2 linked regions of the Arabidopsis thaliana genome follow. The protein of the gene in region 2 interacts with the protein of the main gene of each other region in a pairwise test. Each region holds a gene or a part of one and is shown on either strand. Other genes may lie near its edges. The genes, in order: AGL52 and AGL99.

Region 1 (16,326 bases), on a different chromosome or scaffold from region 2:
ATAGAATGATCTGGCGCACTGGAGCAACATGATGATGCATGATCATGATAACATTTCCGCTTTCGAGATCCCAAATGCGGATGGTACAGTCCATACTTCCGGAGATCAAAACATGAGAAGAATTACATCCATTTGCATCCCCAAACATTCGATGCGCTGCTAAGCATAGAACAGATCCTGTATGTCCCAATAGACGCTGTTTATAGACGAGTGGATCAGTATCTGATCTCGGGCTTGAAGCAGGAGAATCAATTCCATGAAGAAAATCAAACTTTGCAATCTCTATCTCACCACTAAAGAAACCATAGACAACAGCATATGGGACATACATATTCTCAGAAATAACCATGGACGATGACACACACTGTCCATTGTCACTAACAAAGCTTTGTAGATCATTTTTGGCACTGCACTGACTTCCTGACTGCGAAGTACCAGTTTCTGCACTAACCGAGCCCTTGGGATCTAAACAGGAGCTTGAAATCCAATCAGCAAAATAGGAGCTTTCTCCAAGCACTTTGCGCTGAAGTTCTTTTTCTTTACCATTTCCTAGGCACAATGACCAGATCGTTATATGGGGCCTCCACTGAGAAGGTTGTTCAACATCACAACAACTAGACTCAACGCGAAGAAGATTCTGCCTCAACTGAACAAAACAAAACGTTGATTTCACGGAACGCTTATCATCAGGGGCAGTAACAATCTCACCGAAGTTTTTATATGTAAATTCACCATCTATATATGACATAGTAAACAGCACAGCAGAACCACTACCATCCCACAGCACAAAAGTTTCAGAAATACTATCATCTTTATCACCTTCAATAGTTGATGTACTAGAGTAAAGTATCATTGCTTCTTTGAACAGAAAATTTGAAGAATGCGAATCATCAACAAAAGATATCTCTCCTATTGCCTCCTCGCGATTCAACAACCAAAAGACACACCTACTCTTCGAGAAAAACGCAACAAGATCCCCTCGAGTTATTACTGATACAGCAATTTCCCCTTCACTCAACCAGTTTCTAGACACTAGAGAGCCTTTGCTCGGTTCAGATTTCTCTGACACTGAGACCAACTGCAACCTACCAAACGAATCAGCCATAAGCAATGATTCCTGCTCATCTAACTGAACCACGCCCATAAAATTCAAACAACCAATAGATAAATTCCCATGGAAAACTGTATGAACAATAGTAAGAGTGTAAGTATCAACAACAACCACCGTGCATCTCGACTTCTGAAAATCAGTATCTGCTAAAGTCTCAGCCCCATCAACATCGATATAAGAACAACCAACACATACATATCTAGGCTCTGATGGCAAAGTAGACAAAATCGATGGACTTCCAACCCAAGGAGGTAATTTTCTTCGTTTCCTACACTGACCACTACTTCTACTCCATACACACAAGACACCATCAGTACAAGCACTGATCAATGCACAACAGTTAACAAATGGATCCGCATTACCATTATCTGATGCAACAACTCCATTACTTGAAAGTATTGTAGGATCACAAATAGCAAGATCCACTATTGGTGAAGTATGGCCACACAACATAGCAATCGGTTTAATCTCATGATGAGGGAGACGAGTTACAGAATTGGATTCGGAAGAAGAAGAGATGCTCCACCAGATGATTGACCCATCGGATCCACCGGTATAGAGAGTCGGTGGATTGGTTAGAGAGGCTGTGGCGGTGACCCGATGAGACGGAGGAGCACGAGACCATAGGCAGGCCACAGATCGGCACTTCATCGGCTTGAATCAAGCGGTACAAGCATCGACCGAGTCAGTGAACGAGTCGGGGTGAGAGAAGAAGGAAGAACGAACTGGTAAACGACGTCGTAACAGTAATCACGACAAATATATCTGTACATATTTAGATGGATTTTTCGAGGTTGCAAATAAATTTTTTAAGGTAAATATTTGGCAAAAGTTTGATAATTGATATTTTAACTTTACTAGATTATTATCAACTTAAAATACTTAAATCTGTGTATTGGACGACGGGTCCTAATCTAGTCAATATATAAATTATAACTTGTTAAAATATATCATAGTCTAAATTCACAAATCACATTGTATTTGCTAAACTATGAGTAAACGATTACGATATAAACAAAATGAGTAGAAAATGATTATTTTAAATTATTGTAGTTCTCTATAAATATCTTTACCATTAGTTTTCTTTCCTTTTTTCAGTATTATTCTTTTGTCAACTAATTTATTTGTTAAAAAATCTGGACTTATCAAGAATCAATCTTATGTTAAAAAATAAAATCAAAAGGAAATTAGAAAATAAAATAAAATCTAATTACCTTTTTGTTTTTGGTTATATGACCTAGTAGAGGTATTAAAACGTTCTTAAAAGAAAAAAAAAATCCCAAACACAGCAAAAAAAAAAAAAGCCTAGAGGAATAGAATCGGTCTCTTTCTCTATAATCTCTCTCTCTCTCTGACTTGTTTGTGTTCTCTCAAATCCTCTGATAAGAATCAATGGCCAAGGAATTAGCAGAGAAAGCTAAAGAAGCTTTTCTAGATGATGACTTCGATGTTGCTGTTGACTTATACTCCAAAGCCATTGACTTGGATCCCAATTGCGCCGCCTTCTTCGCCGATCGTGCTCAGGCCAACATCAAAATCGATAACTTCACTGGTATAAATATAACTCTCTTCCTTACCGTTAATATCATCGTTAAAGATTGAAACTTTATTAGATGTATTGCTTCGTTGACGCTTTTGGGGTTCTGGGTCTTGTTCTTTTGTCGTTACTTTAATTCGATCTGTTGATAGTGGAACAAAGTTTTGATTTTTGTTATTGGTTTGGTTTAGTTTTAGTTTTAGGGTTTCTTTTGTGAGGTTGTTGATTCGGATAAGAAAACTTATTTGAGTAATTGTAATTGTAGTTACTGTACTTTGATTGAATTGTTGTTGTTTGATGATTTGATTTGATATTTTATCTTTTTGTGGTTTCTATGAGCAGAAGCTGTTGTAGATGCGAACAAAGCCATTGAGTTGGAGCCAACGTTGGCAAAAGCCTATCTCAGAAAGGGGTATGATATTTTCACCATCTCTCTGTAGTGAATGATTTGATGTTATGTTCAAATTTGATTGGAATTATAATTCTATCTTCTGATTCTTTGCTACTGTGTTCGCAGCACTGCTTGTATGAAGCTAGAAGAATATAGTACTGCTAAAGCAGCCCTGGAAAAGGGAGCTTCTGTTGCACCGAATGAACCAAAGTTTAAGAAGATGATAGATGAATGCGATCTTCGTATTGCAGGTATGTTACATCAACTCCATAGCTTAAGAAATTAGTTACTAAACGATTTTGGGTATTTGTCTGCGCCTAGGGCTATAATTTTGATATAGTCTTTGTATCTCTGTTCAGAAGAAGAGAAAGATTTGGTTCAGCCGATGCCACCGAGTTTGCCTTCAAGCTCTACAACACCACTAGCAACGGAAGCTGATGCTCCTCCTGTTCCAATTCCTGCAGCACCTGCCAAACCGATGTTCAGGTAGTCTGGTTATCTAACATGTAAATTCTTCTTTAATTTCCAGAATCATTTTATACTCATAACTTTATTGCTCAACAGGCACGAGTTCTACCAGAAACCAGAAGAAGCGGTGGTGACAATTTTCGCCAAAAAAGTACCTAAGGAGAACGTAACTGTCGAGTTTGGTGAGCAGATTGTGAGTATCCTTCAATCAGAGAATTCATGACTTTTATCTGAACTTCAGAAACTATCTCTCTTTGTAATTTAACACTGTATTGATTTGAGATGTCTATCTTGGCTTTATTTTGGTGCAGCTGAGTGTTGTCATTGATGTTGCTGGAGAGGAAGCTTATCATCTCCAGCCGAGATTGTTCGGGAAGGTATATTTTATTTGACATATGTAATTACGGTGTTTTCACACACACTTTTACTAAATCCTTCTTCATGGGTGTTTTTCAGATAATACCAGAGAAGTGCAGATTTGAAGTATTGTCGACCAAAGTTGAGATCCGTCTTGCGAAAGCAGAGATAATCACCTGGGCCTCCCTTGAATATGGTAAAGGGCAAAGTGTTTTGCCCAAACCCAATGTCTCATCAGGTTTGTCTCAGAAGATACCAGCTTACGTTTACTATTTTATTCTGAACCACAATCGTAAAACCTTAAACAAACTGAACCCAAAGTGGTCTCTCTCTCTTCTCATTTGATTTTATGTGCATATGCAGCGCTGTCGCAGAGACCAGTGTACCCATCTTCTAAGCCAGCAAAAGACTGGGACAAGTTGGAAGCTGAAGTGAAGAAACAGGTTCCACAAACGCTAACTTCTCATCCTTAACACTAGAGGCTTTGCTGTACTTTGTTCTTTCTGCTTATCACTTTTGAATTTCGCAGGAGAAGGATGAGAAGCTTGATGGAGATGCAGCTATGAACAAATTTTTCAGCGACATATACTCGAGTGCAGATGAAGACATGAGGCGGGCAATGAACAAATCATTTGTGAGCAAATCTATCTTTGGTCTTTAAAATTTTGGTTTAATAACTCTGCTTTGTTCTTCGACTAATGAGATTTTCCTCTCGGGTGGTTTTTGGGTTTGACAGGCAGAGTCGAATGGGACGGTACTGTCGACAAACTGGAAAGAAGTTGGGACTAAGAAAGTGGAGAGCACTCCACCAGATGGCATGGAGCTCAAGAAGTGGGAGTATTGATCTTCTTAAAATCCCCTTTTCTGGTTTTTGTTAAAAAAAAGTCTGACAAATCTTTTGAACTTTTAAGGTGTTTTTCTTTTTTGGTTTCTGCTCGAATTTGTCTCTCTCCATTCTTGCGTTGTGGTCTCAAAGAACGTTCTGATACTTTGATTTTGTATTAGAAAACTAAAACTCGCAAGTCTGTTGTTTTGGAACTTTGTTCTTTTATCGAGAGGCTTATCTAAATATTTCTTGACATAATTGCATTGTGGTCTAAAAGGTTAGTTGTATAAGCCCAACTTTCTTTAGTTAAAACCGATGTGCATCTATATAGTGAGACAGTATTTTCACCTTTGGGGTTCCTGGTCTAGGAACACTGTTGTTGAATCCAAATCTTTCTTTCTTCTCAAATGCCTTAAGGATTTGAAATGAACATGTTAAGCTATCATCAACACTCATCAATGCACCAGCATTGTCAAACTCGCCACAGTAATTGGGTGCAGAGAATTTGTCTTCACGAAATCAGAGCTACTTTCCATCTTCATGTATATATTAGCTGATTCAGACAAGAAGGATACTAAGTTACAAGTTTGTTATAAGATGCAAGAGTAAAGGATTTCACTTTGCAGGTTGTATCAACCAATTGAAACAGTCTTGTCACCATAAGTGATTTTAGATTATAATTTGTTTCATGCAAGTTTTTGTGAAAGACTTTTATGGAAGTTCATATATATATATATATATATATATATAATACTAACTGAAATACCAACTTAAAAGTAAAAACAAAATCTCCACAAATGGATCTGTTTTACAGTTATAACAACACTGTAAAATAAAAAAAGACAGTAGCAGGAAGAATTCAGAAGCAAAAACAGCTTCAATCTCTCTCTGATCAGCTTCCTACTTATAAGTATTGACTGACTCTTAATGAAGCTTCAAAAAACAAATCCTTTTGGACAGATTTGTTAGCAGAGAAGTCTTGAGTTGTCAGAAAAACAATAGCTGTTAGGAATGTTGTGGAGAGGTGGCAGAGAAGATGTCTGTAGCAAACTGCTCCCATCATAGCTCGAAAACATATCTTGAGAGAAGCTAGTGTTACCATAAGGGAATTCATGTGGAACAGTGTTTGAGAGATTAGGATGTTGTAAACCGTTGTTGTTATTGATGATTTCACTCATCATACACAAGTTCTGATCAAAACCATGAAGCTGATCCTGTTGCTGCATCAAGTGATTATTCAACCCGTAGTTATTCGCCGAAAGTAACGGTGAGTAGTCTTGTGTGTTTGACACGCCAGGATGTTGAAAGTTGTTGTTGTTGGTGATGTTGTCCAAACACATGTTCTGACCAAAACCATGCTGCATCTGGTAATTGATGAGTTGATTGGATTGTGAAGCAGACAGTGGGAGTTGTGAGAGAGTAGCATCTCCATGGTTGTACATATACAGCGAGAACTTGCTAGGATCCAAGTGTTGTGTCTGGTTCAGATACGATGGTGTTAAACTCTGATGCACCAAGTTTGTGTTCTGTTTTTTCTGCGACTCAACAATACGAAGCCTTTTTTGGAGAGTAGAAAGTGTTCGTTCTAAGGACTGAATCAATTGAGAGAGTTGTTGAGGAGAGTAATGATCAAAGTTTGGATACCAATTAGGGTTCTTCACATAATTCGTCTTCCCCTTATACTTGTCTTTGTCCTTCACCTTCTCTTTCTCGAGGAACTCATGAAGATTGAGGCACTTCTTGCGTTTTCTGTCCTCTTTATACCTCAAAGCCATATTTTTCACTGTCTCTCTATCCTTAGGCCATGTTCTCAGATCACCGTCTGGTCCGTAATAGATGACGCAAACGTCAATAGCACAGAGAATCGAAAGCTCTTCTGCTTTCTTAAAGATTGTTTTAAGTCTGTTTGTTAAACTTGTTGGATTACATGACGAAGAAGAAGAAGCTTGCTTCATCGTGATTTTGCCTTGATTCGCCAAGCAAGAAACTAGGGTTTTTTTTTTCTCCGACAGAGAGATAACACACAAAGAAGAAGCAGAATTGTGGAATTGATGGTGAAAGATTGTGAAACTTCACTCAATATGTTTATATAGATTGCCTTGGTGCCTACGGGAACAAGCATACGCGTCGGCGACGCGTGAAGAAGATAAAAGCAGTATCTATCCTCAAATCTAGGTTACCTCTTCTCTTATTATTTAGCTTATAGTATATATTACGTCAAATAAGATAATTGTTTTTCAAGTTTCATTTTATTATTTTTATAAATTTTACGTTTATGTTTTTAGAATATGTTTCTAAAAGGTTAGTTGTATAAAACCCAACTTTCTTCAGTTGAAAATGCTGTGAACATCTTCCACAATTTTTACAAAAAAAATCTAAACAAAACATAATGTTGCCTCAACCATAAGAAAACAGATAACAATCTAACAAAACAAACTGTTTGCCTTACAAAATTCGAACCCGTCGGTTTCACTCGTTTCTTGAACCCATCGACGACGAGTTAACGACCTTTTCCACCCTGCAAGAATGTTAACATATCAAACCTGATATCTAACATCTACCTACATTGCATCTATATACAGGGGGATAGTATTTTCACACCTTATGAGGTGGGGTTCCTGGTCTAGGAACATTGTTGTTGAATCCAAATCTTCCTTTCTTCTCAGATGCCTTAAGGATTTGGAATGAACATGTTAAGCTATCATCAACACTCATCAATGCACCAGCATTGTCAAACTCGCCACAGTAATTGGGTGCAGAGAATATTGTCACTAGTTGTCTCTTTGCAAAGAACTCGTATCCATCTTCTACAACCTGCAGGAACAGTATAGTTAAGTAAAACTTGGCTTGGTGAAAAAACTACAGATCCTTGCATTAACAACTGAGTTATGATTTCTTAACCCTCTGAATTCAGAGAACAGTCACAGAGAAGAACAAACCAATCCAGAGAAATCAAAAGAGAGAACTCAAGGAATAAATTTTAGCTTTACCTGATGAGCTCGGCATATAAGATCAAGGTCATGAGTTTGAAGGAACTCAGCTACTTTGTCAGCCCCAAATGTATAAGAGACACCTCTGTCATTCTCCCCCCAGCCTTGAATCTCTCTGTCAGGATCAGCCCACAACAAATCACAAAGAATGCCCTGATCAGGAACGTCAATAGGACGAGGAATTCTCCTGATGTCATCTAAGCTCTTAATATCAGGCGATAGTCCACCATGCATGCAGAGGATCTTATCATCAATGAGAGCAGAAACAGGCAGACAGTTGAAGCACTCGGTGAATGTTTTCCATAAGCGAACATTATATCTTCTTTTGCATTCATCGTAGAATCCATATACACGGTTGATTGAAGCACATTCGTGATTGCCTCTGAGAAGAAAGAAGTTGAACTTGTATTTGACCTTATAGGCAAGAAGAAGGCATATCGTCTCTATGCTCTGCTTACCACGATCAACATAATCCCCAAGAAACAAGTAGTTCGCAGCTGGTGGATAACCACCATACTCAAACAACCGCAAGAGGTCTGGAAACTGACCATGAACATCTCCTGCTCATCAACATATAAACTTAAAACCATCAACAAAATTACAAATCATACAGTTATGATAGCAACAGAAGGGTTTAATATCTATCATACACCAAATTCAGCAACTAAACAAAACTATTAGCTATCAAATGAAGTAATAAGTCAAGCGAGATACCAACAACTGCTTATGCAACAGAGCTAAGGGACCATGGTTCCTCAAAGACACAAAAGTAAGAGGTCACTACTCACAATTCCGCAAGAAACACTAACTTAAAGTGGCAGAGCATTTAACTAATTCACAACATACACATCTTCAACCATTTCAATGTACACTTATATCCCAAAAATCTAAGCTTTAAGCTTCCCAAACAACAAACTTACAAAGCTAAACCCTTACATCAAAAAATGTAAAATTGATCAAAAACCCACAACACAAAAACGAATTCAAGATAAAGTAAACAGAGAGAAACATTTCTCTATTCAGTAACATTACCGCAAATCTTGATAGGAGCCTCGAGCTCGAGGAGATTAGGCTGACTGAGAAAAACCTCTTTTGAAGCTAAACATAGCTGACGTATCTCCGTCTCAGTAATCTGTGCTTGCTTCACCGTCCTTCCATTATTCGTCGCCAAAAGCCGTCGTATTATATCGTCAAGTAAAGTCTCATCCATCGTAGCAACAACCCTAATTTCTCTCTAACGCACAGAAATTAGATACCGGAAACTTCTCGTCTAACGAATCCAGAGAGATCCGACGATTGTTTTAACCGCCGACGTCTCTGGGTTCGTATCGTTGACGGAGAAGAAGATACAGAGAGCGTTAAGTAGAGAGAGGGAGAGAGACCCAAATTTCGTAAACCCTAGAAACTTTTATAATAAACGCGGTAATAATTATTTTTCATCATCCAAAACTCGAAGCCAAAGAAAGGAGCGGAGTGGTCACGTGACAAGTTCTCAGACGCACGTGCGATTGTTGTTGATTAGTCTGCATCCAGTTATGTGGTTTCATTTGGTTCAATTTAGGTTAGGATCGGTTTTGGACAAAAACTTATAATAAAAATAAAGATAACTAACTAATTTTAATTCATATTATAGTTTTAATATACTTAAATTTAAATTATTATATTTTGTGAATTTAGTTAAATGGGTTGGTTCCAAAAACTTTATATACAAGGCAAATTACTATACCGGTTAGGTTATAAAATTAATTTGGGTGGATCTCGATTCGATAATGTTGACCCTCCTTAATGTATGTGTTGAATGTATTATGAGAATTATGTTATTTTGGTTTAAATTGCTCACCAAAATACAATCTTAAATGTATTTGTGTCATATAAGTTTTTTTCTCTCTTAATTCTCTCAAATCTTTTAGAGATAAAAAACTTTGAATCTTGTTACTATCTTTTGCTAATCCGATTAACATCGGGCTTTAGATTTCGTTTTATGTTTTAGCTTTTCGTCTTCGTTCGTATCTATCTCCGACTTATTGTCGGTTTATCTTCCAAACTTTGTTTCGGTTATTAGTTTTAATCACATGTTTTTATTTTTGGCGGAAAAATCACGGGTTTATGTTTTTTAAAAAAAAATTTACGAGTTTACTTTTTCTCAATTTTATCGCTTATATATTTAAGAAATTTGGAAAAATAATGATTTATTAAATTGGTTTAGATGTGTTGGTTAAACTTAAATTGACATTGGTTTAGAGATTTTAATTAGTTTAATTCAATTTTACAAAACTTGATGTGTTAATTGGGTAAACCATTGAAACCATTAACCATTACAACCCAACTCATTTTACTCATCAAACCAATTAACTCATCAACTCATTTGACCCATTAACTCATTTGAGTCAAAATTTTCAACTCATTAGGGTTCATGGATTGAGTTGAGTTGAGACATTTTGATACCTCTAGTTTTAAACACTAAACAAAACAAATACAATTCAAATTCAAATTATTTAGTTGTGATATAGATTTTAACCAAATGAATTGTATTTTATTGTTTTTATATTTTAAAGAATAAAAATCAAATATAATAATTATACATTAATTAATATATAAAAATTCAAAACATTAAATCATATATATTTTTAATATGCTAAACAAATTAAATTTTTTTAAAAAAATATATAATTTCACAACAACAGCGAGTTAAGTATAATTAAAGTGTACCTAAAACATGCACAAAAATATAGTATAATTTTTTGTGTCGTAACTCGTAAATATAGTATAATTTAAAACCGTATTTTTAGAAACCAAACTTATTTTTATATTTTCGTTCTGCTTTGGTAATTTCCTCTGGTCGTTCCTTTGATTAGTACAAAAGACAAATTTTATAATAAACACAAAATTCAAAAACTGTATTTATTCAGTCTTCTCCCTCCTTGGCTTCTCTCCTCTCCTCCCAACAAATTCAAAATGTCAATGTCATTTTCCGGCGGGACTCACAACGATCGTTGGGGCTCCGATTTAGCTTCCGCCGGAGAATTCACCCAAAGCTTTCCATCCTTACCAGCAACATACTCACCCTCACCCTCCTCCTCCTCCTCCTCCGGCGAAGAGCTCCTAGAAGTAACAATCGAATTCCCAAGCGGCGTAATAATAAACATCGACTCCGTTACCGGAACCGGCACCGATATTTCAGGTACCGATCTAGAGATCACCTCTTGCTCGGATTCCGGTTCAGGATCAAGGTCGCTTAGCTTAGGATGGAGCGCGTCGTCGGAGAGACTGACGGCGGGGACGAACTCAAAGCAGCAGATCCAGAAGATCTCACGGCGTGGTTACGGTTATTCGTCTCGGTCTGCACCGGAACCGGTGGTTCCACACAGAGGCGAAATTACCGATTCGGTTAATCTCCCTCGAGCTTTATCTCAGCGACCAACTAGACCTAATCGGGATGGATCGGGTACAGAGAGAGCGATTCATGGTTTGAAATTCATAAGCAGCAAAGAAAATGGAATCGTTGATTGGAACGATGTTCAAAACAATTTCGCTCATCTTTCTAAAGATGGTTATCTTTTCAAAAGTGATTTTGCTCATTGCATAGGTTCGACATAATGATTTTCACAGTTTTGAAATTGAGTTTGACTCTGGAGAATCGATAGAGATTGTAAATTTTGTTGTTCTGTGTTTGAAAGGTTTGGAGAATGAAAATTCCAAAGAGTTTGCAGACGAGTTGTTCGACGCATTGTGTAGGAGAAGAAGAATAATGGTTGATAAGATCAATCTTCAAGAATTATACGAGTTTTGGTACCAAATTACAGACGAAAGCTTCGATTCTCGTCTTCAAATCTTCTTCAACATGTATTGTTATCAATTATCATCAAATCTTGTTAAACATATTGATCAACATGTAGCTAAAGTTCTTGATTTGTTTTTTCACTTTTTGAAACTTGCAGGGTTAAAAATGGAGATGGTAGAATCACAGAGAATGAAGTAAAAGAGGTTTTTTTTTTTTTTTTTACTTTTGTTCGATCTTCTTTGTTTAGTATTCTAATCAGCATTGACTAATGAATCTTACATGAGTCCCATTATCTTTATATGTTTTAGTATTGTATTATCCCTCTTGCTTAATTTTATAGAGCTACATGTTTTTTTTTTTTGGTTGGTTATGTTGGTCTTGATATTATTCTTTCTTATGTCTACCTTGTAACCAATGCAAGACTAGGAGATTTAAGTTGCAATTGTTTTTTCTGCATATAATTTGATTGACCTTGTAGCAGCTTTCTTAATTTAAGGAAGTGATTCTAACTACCAATGAAAAGATATTGTTTTTCTATATAACCACTAAGTTTAACGTTGAATCTTTCAAATAGAAGCTTCTCAATGGTATTAACTACTTTTTGTATGGTTTTCTATGATTTTGACAACCTATAGATTATTATACTAAGTGCATCGGCAAATAATCTATCGAGGTTGCGAGAACGAGCAGAGGAATATGCCGCACTGATCATGGAAGAACTTGCACCAGATGGACTCTATTCTCAGTACATAGAGGTGGTTCCATCACTTTTAACTCCCAATCTTGTTAAATGTCCTAACAGAAAACATGTTTAAATACCGTAAAACTTTTGATAGTGTGTAGATCAGTCTCTTTCTATGAGAGAGAGAGTAGAAGGGTTCTTTGTTAAGTTTGACCTTAGTAAGTGATGACGTTGAGCTCTCTTACCTTTCAAGTTCTCTGATAGGGACATTTGACTGAGTCAAAACCAATGAGCTTAAAGTTATGTGCTATGCAAGTTTGTTTTTGTATGGAATTAATATAATAAAAGGTTGACGAAGACAAAAATGTAGAGGTCCACATATAGAGCTTGAACAAATATTGTTATCAAAAATAATCTCTAGTGGTGTAGTGGCGTTTAAGTGTATGATTAAGAATTTAGATAATCTTACTGTGATTAGTAACAAATATTGTTTGAGAGACTGCCCACTTGCTTGAGACTGAGACAAGATAGGTAGTAGAACTCTGTCAACATTCTAATATGTTGTCTTTGTTATGGATTTGAAATGATGCAGTTAAAGGACCTAGAGATACTGCTACTAGAGAAGGACATATCTCATAGTTACAGCCTACCGTTCAGCCAGACGAGCCGAGCCTTAAGCCAGAACCTAAAGGATAGAAGATGGAGAATGAGCAGAAACTTGCTTTACTCTTTGCAAGATAATTGGAAGAGGATTTGGGTTTTGACATTGTGGTTTGTGATCATGGCCTGGTTATTTATGTGGAAATGCTATCAGTACAAACACAAAGACGCATTCCATGTAATGGGTTACTGCCTTGTCATGGCAAAAGGCGCAGCTGAGACACTGAAATTCAACATGGCTCTTATTCTTTTGCCGGTCTGTAGAAATACCATCACCTATCTCAGATCCACCGCTTTGTCCCACTCAGTGCCTTTCGATGACTGCATTAATTTTCACAAGGTTAATCATAAACCATTTTTTGTCTTGCCTTTCATAAGAAAGATACTATGCTTCAGCTGAATCCGACTTTCCGGTTTTTGCTTAAACGCAGACGATCTCTGTAGCAATCATTAGTGCAATGCTTCTTCATGCAACCAGCCACCTCGCCTGTGACTTCCCAAGGATTCTAGCATCTACTGATACAGATTACAAAAGATACTTGGTTAAGTACTTTGGTGTGACCAGACCCACATACTTTGGTTTGGTGAATACTCCTGTGGGAATCACTGGAATTATAATGGTTGCTTTTATGTTAATTGCATTCACATTAGCCAGTAGAAGATGCAGGCGGAACTTAACTAAGTTGCCGAAGCCATTTGACAAACTAACCGGATATAATGCCTTCTGGTATTCACATCACTTACTTCTAACTGTTTACGTCCTTTTAGTCATCCACGGTGTTTCCCTCTATCTCGAGCATAAATGGTACCGCAAAACGGTACATTCCATAAACTCTTTACCATTTTACTTTTTGCATGCTTACATAATTGGCTGTGGTAACAATAACATATACTGCATCCTACAGGTATGGATGTATCTTGCTGTACCAGTTTTACTCTATGTTGGTGAGAGGATCTTTAGATTTTTCCGTTCCAGGCTTTACACAGTCGAAATCTGTAAGGTAAAATCTCACTTACAGTTACATTTTGAACTGAATTACATGAAAAGACACATTGTCAATCATCTACTATTATCTCTATACCAACTCAAATGATTTGGTTTCAGGTTGTAATTTATCCCGGAAACGTTGTTGTGCTACGCATGTCTAAGCCTACATCATTTGATTACAAGAGTGGACAATATGTATTTGTTCAGTGTCCATCAGTATCAAAATTTGAGTGGTGAGTGTTTTATAGGGAACCAAAACAAGCCTAATAGCTTTCCTTGCAATCCTAGAACATATACAAACTCTGTTCTTTGACACCACAAAGACTAACTTAAAGATTCTCGGTCCTAAACTCCATCTCCAGGCATCCATTTTCTATTACTTCTTCCCCTGGAGATGATTATCTCAGCATTCACATTCGTCAGCGCGGTGATTGGACAGAAGGGATTAAGAAGGCATTCTCAGTGGTATGTCATGCCCCTGAAGCTGGAAAAAGCGGACTTCTCAGAGCAGATGTACCAAACCAAAGAAGGTGCATAAAATTCTTTAAAATTCAATATATTATTCTCAGAATGTGAATTTTGATACTCTCTCTTGTAATATAGTTTTCCAGAGCTGTTGATAGATGGACCTTATGGCGCTCCAGCGCAAGACCATTGGAAGTATGATGTGGTATTACTGGTTGGCCTTGGAATCGGCGCAACACCTTTCGTTAGCATTTTGAGAGATCTACTCAATAACATTATTAAGCAACAGGAACAAGCTGTGAGTATAACAAGCTTAAAAACCTTGTTGATGAGTAACAGAATCTCAACTAAACTTTTTTGGAGTTATGTTATATTCTCAGGAATGCATCTCAGGTAGTTGTAGTAACAGCAACATCTCGTCGGATCACAGTTTCAGTTGCTTAAACTCAGAAGCTGCGAGTCGGATTCCGCAAACTCAACGGAAGACGCTGAATACCAAGAATGCTTACTTTTACTGGGTAACACGAGAACAAGGCTCGTTCGATTGGTTCAAAGAAATCATGAACGAGATTGCTGATTCAGATAGAAAGGTAAAAACAATACACTTATTCATTTTAAATTCAAAAGATTGTATGATTTCAAGTTACTCACTGACGTATTTGTCTTGTGAACAACTACAAGGGTGTTATTGAGATGCACAACTACTTGACTAGCGTCTACGAAGAAGGAGATACTCGATCCAATCTTCTCACTATGATCCAAACGTTAAACCATGCCAAAAATGGCGTCGACATTTTTTCAGGAACCAAGGTAATGATCTTTAATGATTAGTTGATTACTTTATCACAAACAACACTCTTTTCTGATCTTGTATAACAACTTTTGGTTATTTTAGGTAAGGACACATTTTGGGAGGCCAAAATGGAAGAAAGTTTTATCAAAGATTAGCACCAAACATAGGAACGCAAGAATTGGTAACACACAGAAACATCAGTTCACTGAAATGATATTCGATATCGCGGTGTATATTTGCCTTGTCTGAAGAATGTTTTTTTGTTTGTTACAGGAGTGTTCTATTGTGGAGTTCCAAGTTTGGGGAAGGAACTTTCAACACTCTGCCATGAATTTAACCAGACGGGAATTACCAGGTTCGATTTCCACAAAGAACAGTTCTAACTGGTAAAAGGATTAATCCCCCACGATTATGGTTTTTTGAATGAATGAATCAATGTTCATGTTCGTTCTCGTATCCTACTTGTTGTGTTTTCTTTTCGTTTTGTGTATCACAAATACCAACTTTTAACCATTTCATCTAGAGTAGGACTGTTAAAAAATGTAAAAAGTCACAGTTAAAGCTTGTGAAGAAAAAAAGAGTGTAAAGGAGTAAAAATGAGAAATTCAAACAAAGGGGGATGATGGGATCATTGGGATGATTGGTTCTGTCTGTTCAATTGTTTTCAAATTTGAGCACTTATTATTGGGCCTGTCTTTGAGCTCTCTTATTATTATGGGCCGATAACTAGTTTGGCCCATTTGGTTATCAACTTGAAAATGAATGAAGAAAGCTGGGGAAAAGGGTCTTTTTAAACCCGAACTGACTCAAAAGCCTCAAAAATTTCACTGTTCCTTGGTTCTTGACCGGTTTAGAATCATGGTTTCGGTTTTGAATCATATTTGCTTTCTTGGACATGAGAAAGTAACTGGGCTTCATCATTGTTTTAGCTCATTGGGCCCATATTACGACTCGAGCTAACGCTGTCAAGTTAAATGCTTTTTCACTTTCTAGAGCATTCTTTTTTAAACACTTCTTTTAACCAAGAGACGGTTCCTACTTCTCTAATATTTTTATTTTCTAGTTTTTTGGCCAGCAGCAAAATATTATTTTAATTTAGTGTCAAGATAATTAAATTATCATTGTCTTTTGAATGCAGACCGAAAGTACATGAGTCACATAAGCAAGCGGCTACGATTCAACCACGTGTCACATGACCACCGGTTCGACCGTTTCTTTGTCCAGCCGCGTGACACCTGAACCAGAAAAGTTTAATAGCCATTTTAATAACAGAGCCG
Region 2 (4,749 bases):
TTCTAGCGATATCACCGTTCATTCCGCTATGTACGGTCCCGTGTGGCGATCACTGAGACGGAACATGGTTCAAAACATGCTCTGCTCTAACCGGTTAAAGGAATTTGGTTCAATTAGAAAATCCGCCATTGATAAGCTCGTGGAGAAGATCAAATCTGAAGCTAAGGAAAACGACGGGCTCGTCTGGGTTCTAAGAAACGCTAGATTCGCTGCTTTTTGTATCTTGTTAGATATGTGTTTCGGAGTTAAAATGGAAGAAGAATCGATTGAGAAGATGGATCAGATGATGACGGAGATTTTAACCGCCGTTGATCCACGAATTCACGACTATCTTCCGATTCTAACTCCGTTTTACTTCAAGGAGAGGAAAAATTCTCTGGAACTTCGCCGGAAACTTGTCCAATTCGTCGTTGGATTCATCGAGAAACGACGATTAGCGATTCGAAATCTCGGCTCCGATAAAACGGCGTCGTCTTTCGCGTATCTTGATACTTTATTCGATCTCAGAGTTGATGGTCGTGAAACGTCACCGTCAGATGAAGATCTCGTGACGCTGTGTTCAGAGTTTCTCAACGCCGGTACGGATACGACGGGGACGGCGATAGAGTGGGGAATCGCGGAGCTGATATCGAATCCGAAGATTCAATCTCGGCTGTACGATGAGATTAAATCAACGGTGGGAGATGATCGAACGGTTGAGGAGAAAGATTTGAATAAAATGGTCTTTTTACAAGCTTTTGTTAAGGAGCTTCTCCGGAGACATCCACCGACGTATTTCACGTTAACTCACGGCGTTACGGAGCCGACTAATCTCGCGGGTTACGATATTCCCGTCGGGGCTAATGTTGAGTTTTATCTTCCCGGTATAAGTGAAGACCCGAAGATATGGTCTAAACCGGAGAAATTTGATCCGGACCGGTTTATAACAGGTGGAGAAGACGCCGATTTAACCGGAGTCGCCGGAGTTAAAATGATGCCGTTCGGAATTGGCCGTCGGATTTGTCCGGGGCTTGGAATGGCGGTCGTACACGTGGAGCTAATGCTGTCGAGGATGGTTCAAGAGTTTGAGTGGAGCTCGTACCCGCCGGAGAGCCAAGTGGATTTCACCGGCAAATTGGTGTTCGCGGTGGTGATGAAGAATCCGTTGAGAGCGAGGGTTAAAGCTAGGGTTTAAGTTTCGTTGATTCCACGTCTTTGATTCTTTTAACTTGACCAAACCCGGTTCAAGAGAGAAAATTCGCATTTTGTCTAATTTGCTTTGGTTTAATTAAATGTTTTCCTACTCTTCAATTACTAAATAGAGCCATGCATATTCGATTTACGTTTGTTTTAGTTGGTTTGCATTATTGCATGTCTTCAAATTAAGCTAGTATAAACTAATAATTTAGATGGTTTGACTAAACCAAATAACTGTTTATTACTGAACCAAATTTTCGATTAAATCACTCTTTCAGAAAAGGAAATTTCTTTGACAAAGGAAAAGGAAACATATACTTATTGGATTAATTAGTGATTAGTAGATTATCACGAAAAGGAAATAGAATCGATGGTTTAACTGAACCAGCCATGGTTAGTTTCAGGTGCTTTTCGAGTTAAGTTTTCAAAAAAGGAAATCGATTGTACTTAGTTTGGTTCGTCTCAGGCGGTTTAAGAGTCATTACTTTCAAAAAAGGAAAATAATTATACTTAGTTCGTTTAATCACTGATTAGCTAATTGTCAGAAAAAGGAAATATAGTCGATTGATTAGAAACGAGTAACAACACAGAGTCTATATATACACGATTAGAAACAGAGAGTAGCCATATCATATTCTTTCGCAACAGGCTAACACAAAAATCTCTCTGTCTTTTTCTCCTTCTCTTTCTTTGTCTGTGAAATCGTGAACACAGAATGGGGGGCGTGAAGAGAAAGATTTCTATAGAGCTGATAGAGAAGAAAGATTCAAGAGCTGTTGCTTTCTCAAAACGCAGTAGGGGTCTATATAGCAAAGCCTCTGATCTTTGTCTTCTCTCCGATGCACAAATTGCGATCATAGCCACTCCGGTCTCTTCCAAATCAAACGTTTCTTTCTACACCTTTGGCCATTCCTCTGTTGATAACGTTGTAGCCGCTTTCCTCACGAATCAGCGTCCTCGGGAAGGTCTAGGGTTAGACTATTGGTGGGAAGATGAGAGGCTTTCAAAATCAGAGGACCTGGAGGAACTGAGAGACGCAATGGACTCGATGTCGAAGATGTTGAAAGATCTGAAGGATTTGCAGAATCAACGAGATTGTGAGGAGGACGTGAAGAAGAAGGGTGTTTTACACGGAACTCATCAAAAGCAAACCTTTAATCCTGAATCATGTTCTGTGAATTTCGATGGGTTTAACAAGAACACTGAAGAATTTGATCTTGATGAAATATTTGATTATGTGTCAACAGCTGAAGCTCTATCGATGAACTTGGACATGGACGATGTCTCTGTGGTGACCACGAATCAAAACCCCGTCTCTGCTTCTGAAACTGTTGAAGATAGAGAATTGGTTGTTCACAAAAATATGGATGAGGACAATATCCACGTGTCTGATATGGACGACAAGGATACGATGCTAATGATTTCTGACAAGAACAATGTTTTACCTGAAAACTTGGATGAATTCGATCAAGAGCTAGATCTTGATCAGCTACTTGATTTTGAGACAAACTATGAAAGCCTTTTGAAGAGTTGTGAGATGGAGGATTATGCCTCGATGGTGACTACAAAGCAAAATCTGTGCTCAAATCCTGAAGCTGTTGAAGATGGAGGATTAATGATTCAAAAAGATTTACCGGAGGATAATCTCTGCTTTTCTGATTATTTCAGTGACTTACATTGCTGATATTTGAAACTCCCTCCAAGATAACAGATGTTTCAAGGATTGCTTCGGTTTATTTTCGTTAGAGATACTTTACTCAAGGAAGGTTCCGGTTTGACTTCAATCAATTTTCCATGCTTCATTGGATTTCTGGGATGTTGATCTAACTCAAACCGGTTCAGTTTTGGTTTGCCTTAACTAATGAAGAAACCATCCTTTTTTCTTTTAAGTTTTGTAGTCTTTTCTATCAACTTGTCTTGTTTTATATGTGTGATGTTTTCTTCTTATATTAAAAGTTTAAAACCAATGAGTCTTACTACTCTTTTTTTCTTGTATCAACTTGTGTCTTGTTTAACTGTGGGATGTTTTCTAATCTAACCAACAAATAATATTAAAACCAATATTGAGTCTTACAACAGAAAACATCTGTCTGACAATCTTTGATTAGGAATGTCTCTGCTTTCTTATTAAGTACCAAAACCAGTCATCATCTAGGCCAGTATTTTGTGATTACTTCATAACTTGAAAACAGATAAAGCTTTACCAAAATAGAGCAGAATGGCTCCATAACAAATTGCAGAAGAACCGGTGCTAATTGATTCCATTCAAAACGTGATGCAGAGAAGTGTTTATATGGCGGGGAAAGTTTGGGAAAAAACACCTTGTAATTGGTTCAAATGCAATGTAGGGGGAGCTTGGGTGTTAAGAAATGAGTTGGGTGGTTTTACTTCACAGTCGCCGGGCGATATTTAGTATAAGAAGTGTAGAGGATGCAAAGCTAAGAGTTTTGCTTTGGTCTATTGAAAGCATGTCAAGTCACAAAGTCATGAGAGTTTTTTTTTGCTTGCCAAGAAAAAGGATTGGTAGAAGCAGTTAATAGGCCGCAGGCTTGGCCCCTCTTTTAAAGCTCAATCTTTTGCTTTAAAGAGTTTTTTGTTTAGTTCCAGGTGTGGAAGATGATGGTTTTGGAAACTTTTGGTGCAAACAGGGGAGCAAATCTTATTGCTAAAAGTGTGACAGGAGATCTGAGACTGCAGTCGTATGTGGCAATGGGTCCTCCAAGCTGCCTGGTAAGAGTTTTTGAGGAAGAAAGGACTTGCATCTCTGTTTGTTAATGCAGTTTCGTTTCATGGGCTAAAGTTCTTTTTGTGAACTGATATTTGCAGTCCGTTGTTGAGTTTGTTTAGTGTAGGGAGTTTGTTTTGTCTCCTGTAGTTTAGACCCTCACTTTTTTGTAGCTATATGGCTTTATCAGTGTATAAAAGCCAGATGATGAGAAAAAGAAAAAAAAATTGCAGAAGAACCCTTAATTTATGACATATATAATACCACTCATGAAGAACAGTTGAAATTTCTGACAAGTAAATTGAATTCCAACCAAGTCAAACACGTTTATTCGAGTTTCTTTTTTGTTTTTTCTCAAAGTATAATAAGATGTTGAATTCTGATTAGCTGAAAGATGACACGATTTTATTCATTGTTTTTGGGTCTACCAAAATTGGAAAGTGAGTAAATAAATGGCTTTCTGCGACATTTGGCTTTCCCATGTTACTAATTTATTAAAGGAACAGTTGAACGCAATAAATAAAAACAAAGACATGCACTGATCACACAATTCCTAGACTCCCAAATTATCATTCTAACAGGTAAATTTCACGGTGATATGTTAAATATGTAGCCTGTAGGTCCAAATACAACAACTACTTTTTTTGTTTTTTTTCTATTTTCATTATACATCCTTATTGTTATCTAATTAGTAATTATCAGCATTAAAGATCTGGGACACTCCTGTTTAAAGCTTTCATCGACTATTTGCCTATTAGTTGTAACAATCAGCCTATGGTTATAGGTGAATCTAGACTCATATAATCAATTCTGACTTAAACCTTGTTTGAAAGTAAAGAGTGTTTCTA

Evidence for each region.
Region 1: the proteins of AGL99 (region 2) and AGL52 interact in a two-hybrid assay, tested with the Arabidopsis thaliana proteins (one large-scale study listed by BioGRID).

Annotation. Positions count from the first base shown.
Region 1 is NC_003075.7:6,839,897-6,856,222, reverse strand, and holds AGL52 (AGAMOUS-like 52), read right to left. Parts: upstream 6,646-16,326; coding exon 5,656-6,645; downstream 1-5,655. Other genes in the region: AT4G11270 (Transducin/WD40 repeat-like superfamily protein), read right to left, coding at 1-1,762; SGT1B (phosphatase-like protein), read left to right, coding at 2,504-2,663, 2,991-3,060, 3,166-3,290, 3,399-3,525, 3,604-3,700, 3,819-3,884, 3,964-4,102, 4,228-4,307 and 2 more; TOPP7 (Calcineurin-like metallo-phosphoesterase superfamily protein), read right to left, coding at 7,191-7,208, 7,292-7,504, 7,681-8,240, 8,713-8,890; AT4G11230 (Riboflavin synthase-like superfamily protein), read left to right, coding at 10,636-11,266, 11,358-11,523, 11,619-11,664, 12,097-12,216, 12,736-13,143, 13,235-13,621, 13,709-13,804, 13,909-14,024 and 6 more.
Region 2 is NC_003076.8:1,330,934-1,335,682, forward strand, and holds AGL99 (AGAMOUS-like 99), read left to right. Parts: upstream 1-1,825; 5' UTR 1,826-1,891; coding exon 1,892-2,860; 3' UTR 2,861-2,989; downstream 2,990-4,749. Other genes in the region: CYP77A9 (cytochrome P450, family 77, subfamily A, polypeptide 9), read left to right, coding at 1-1,174.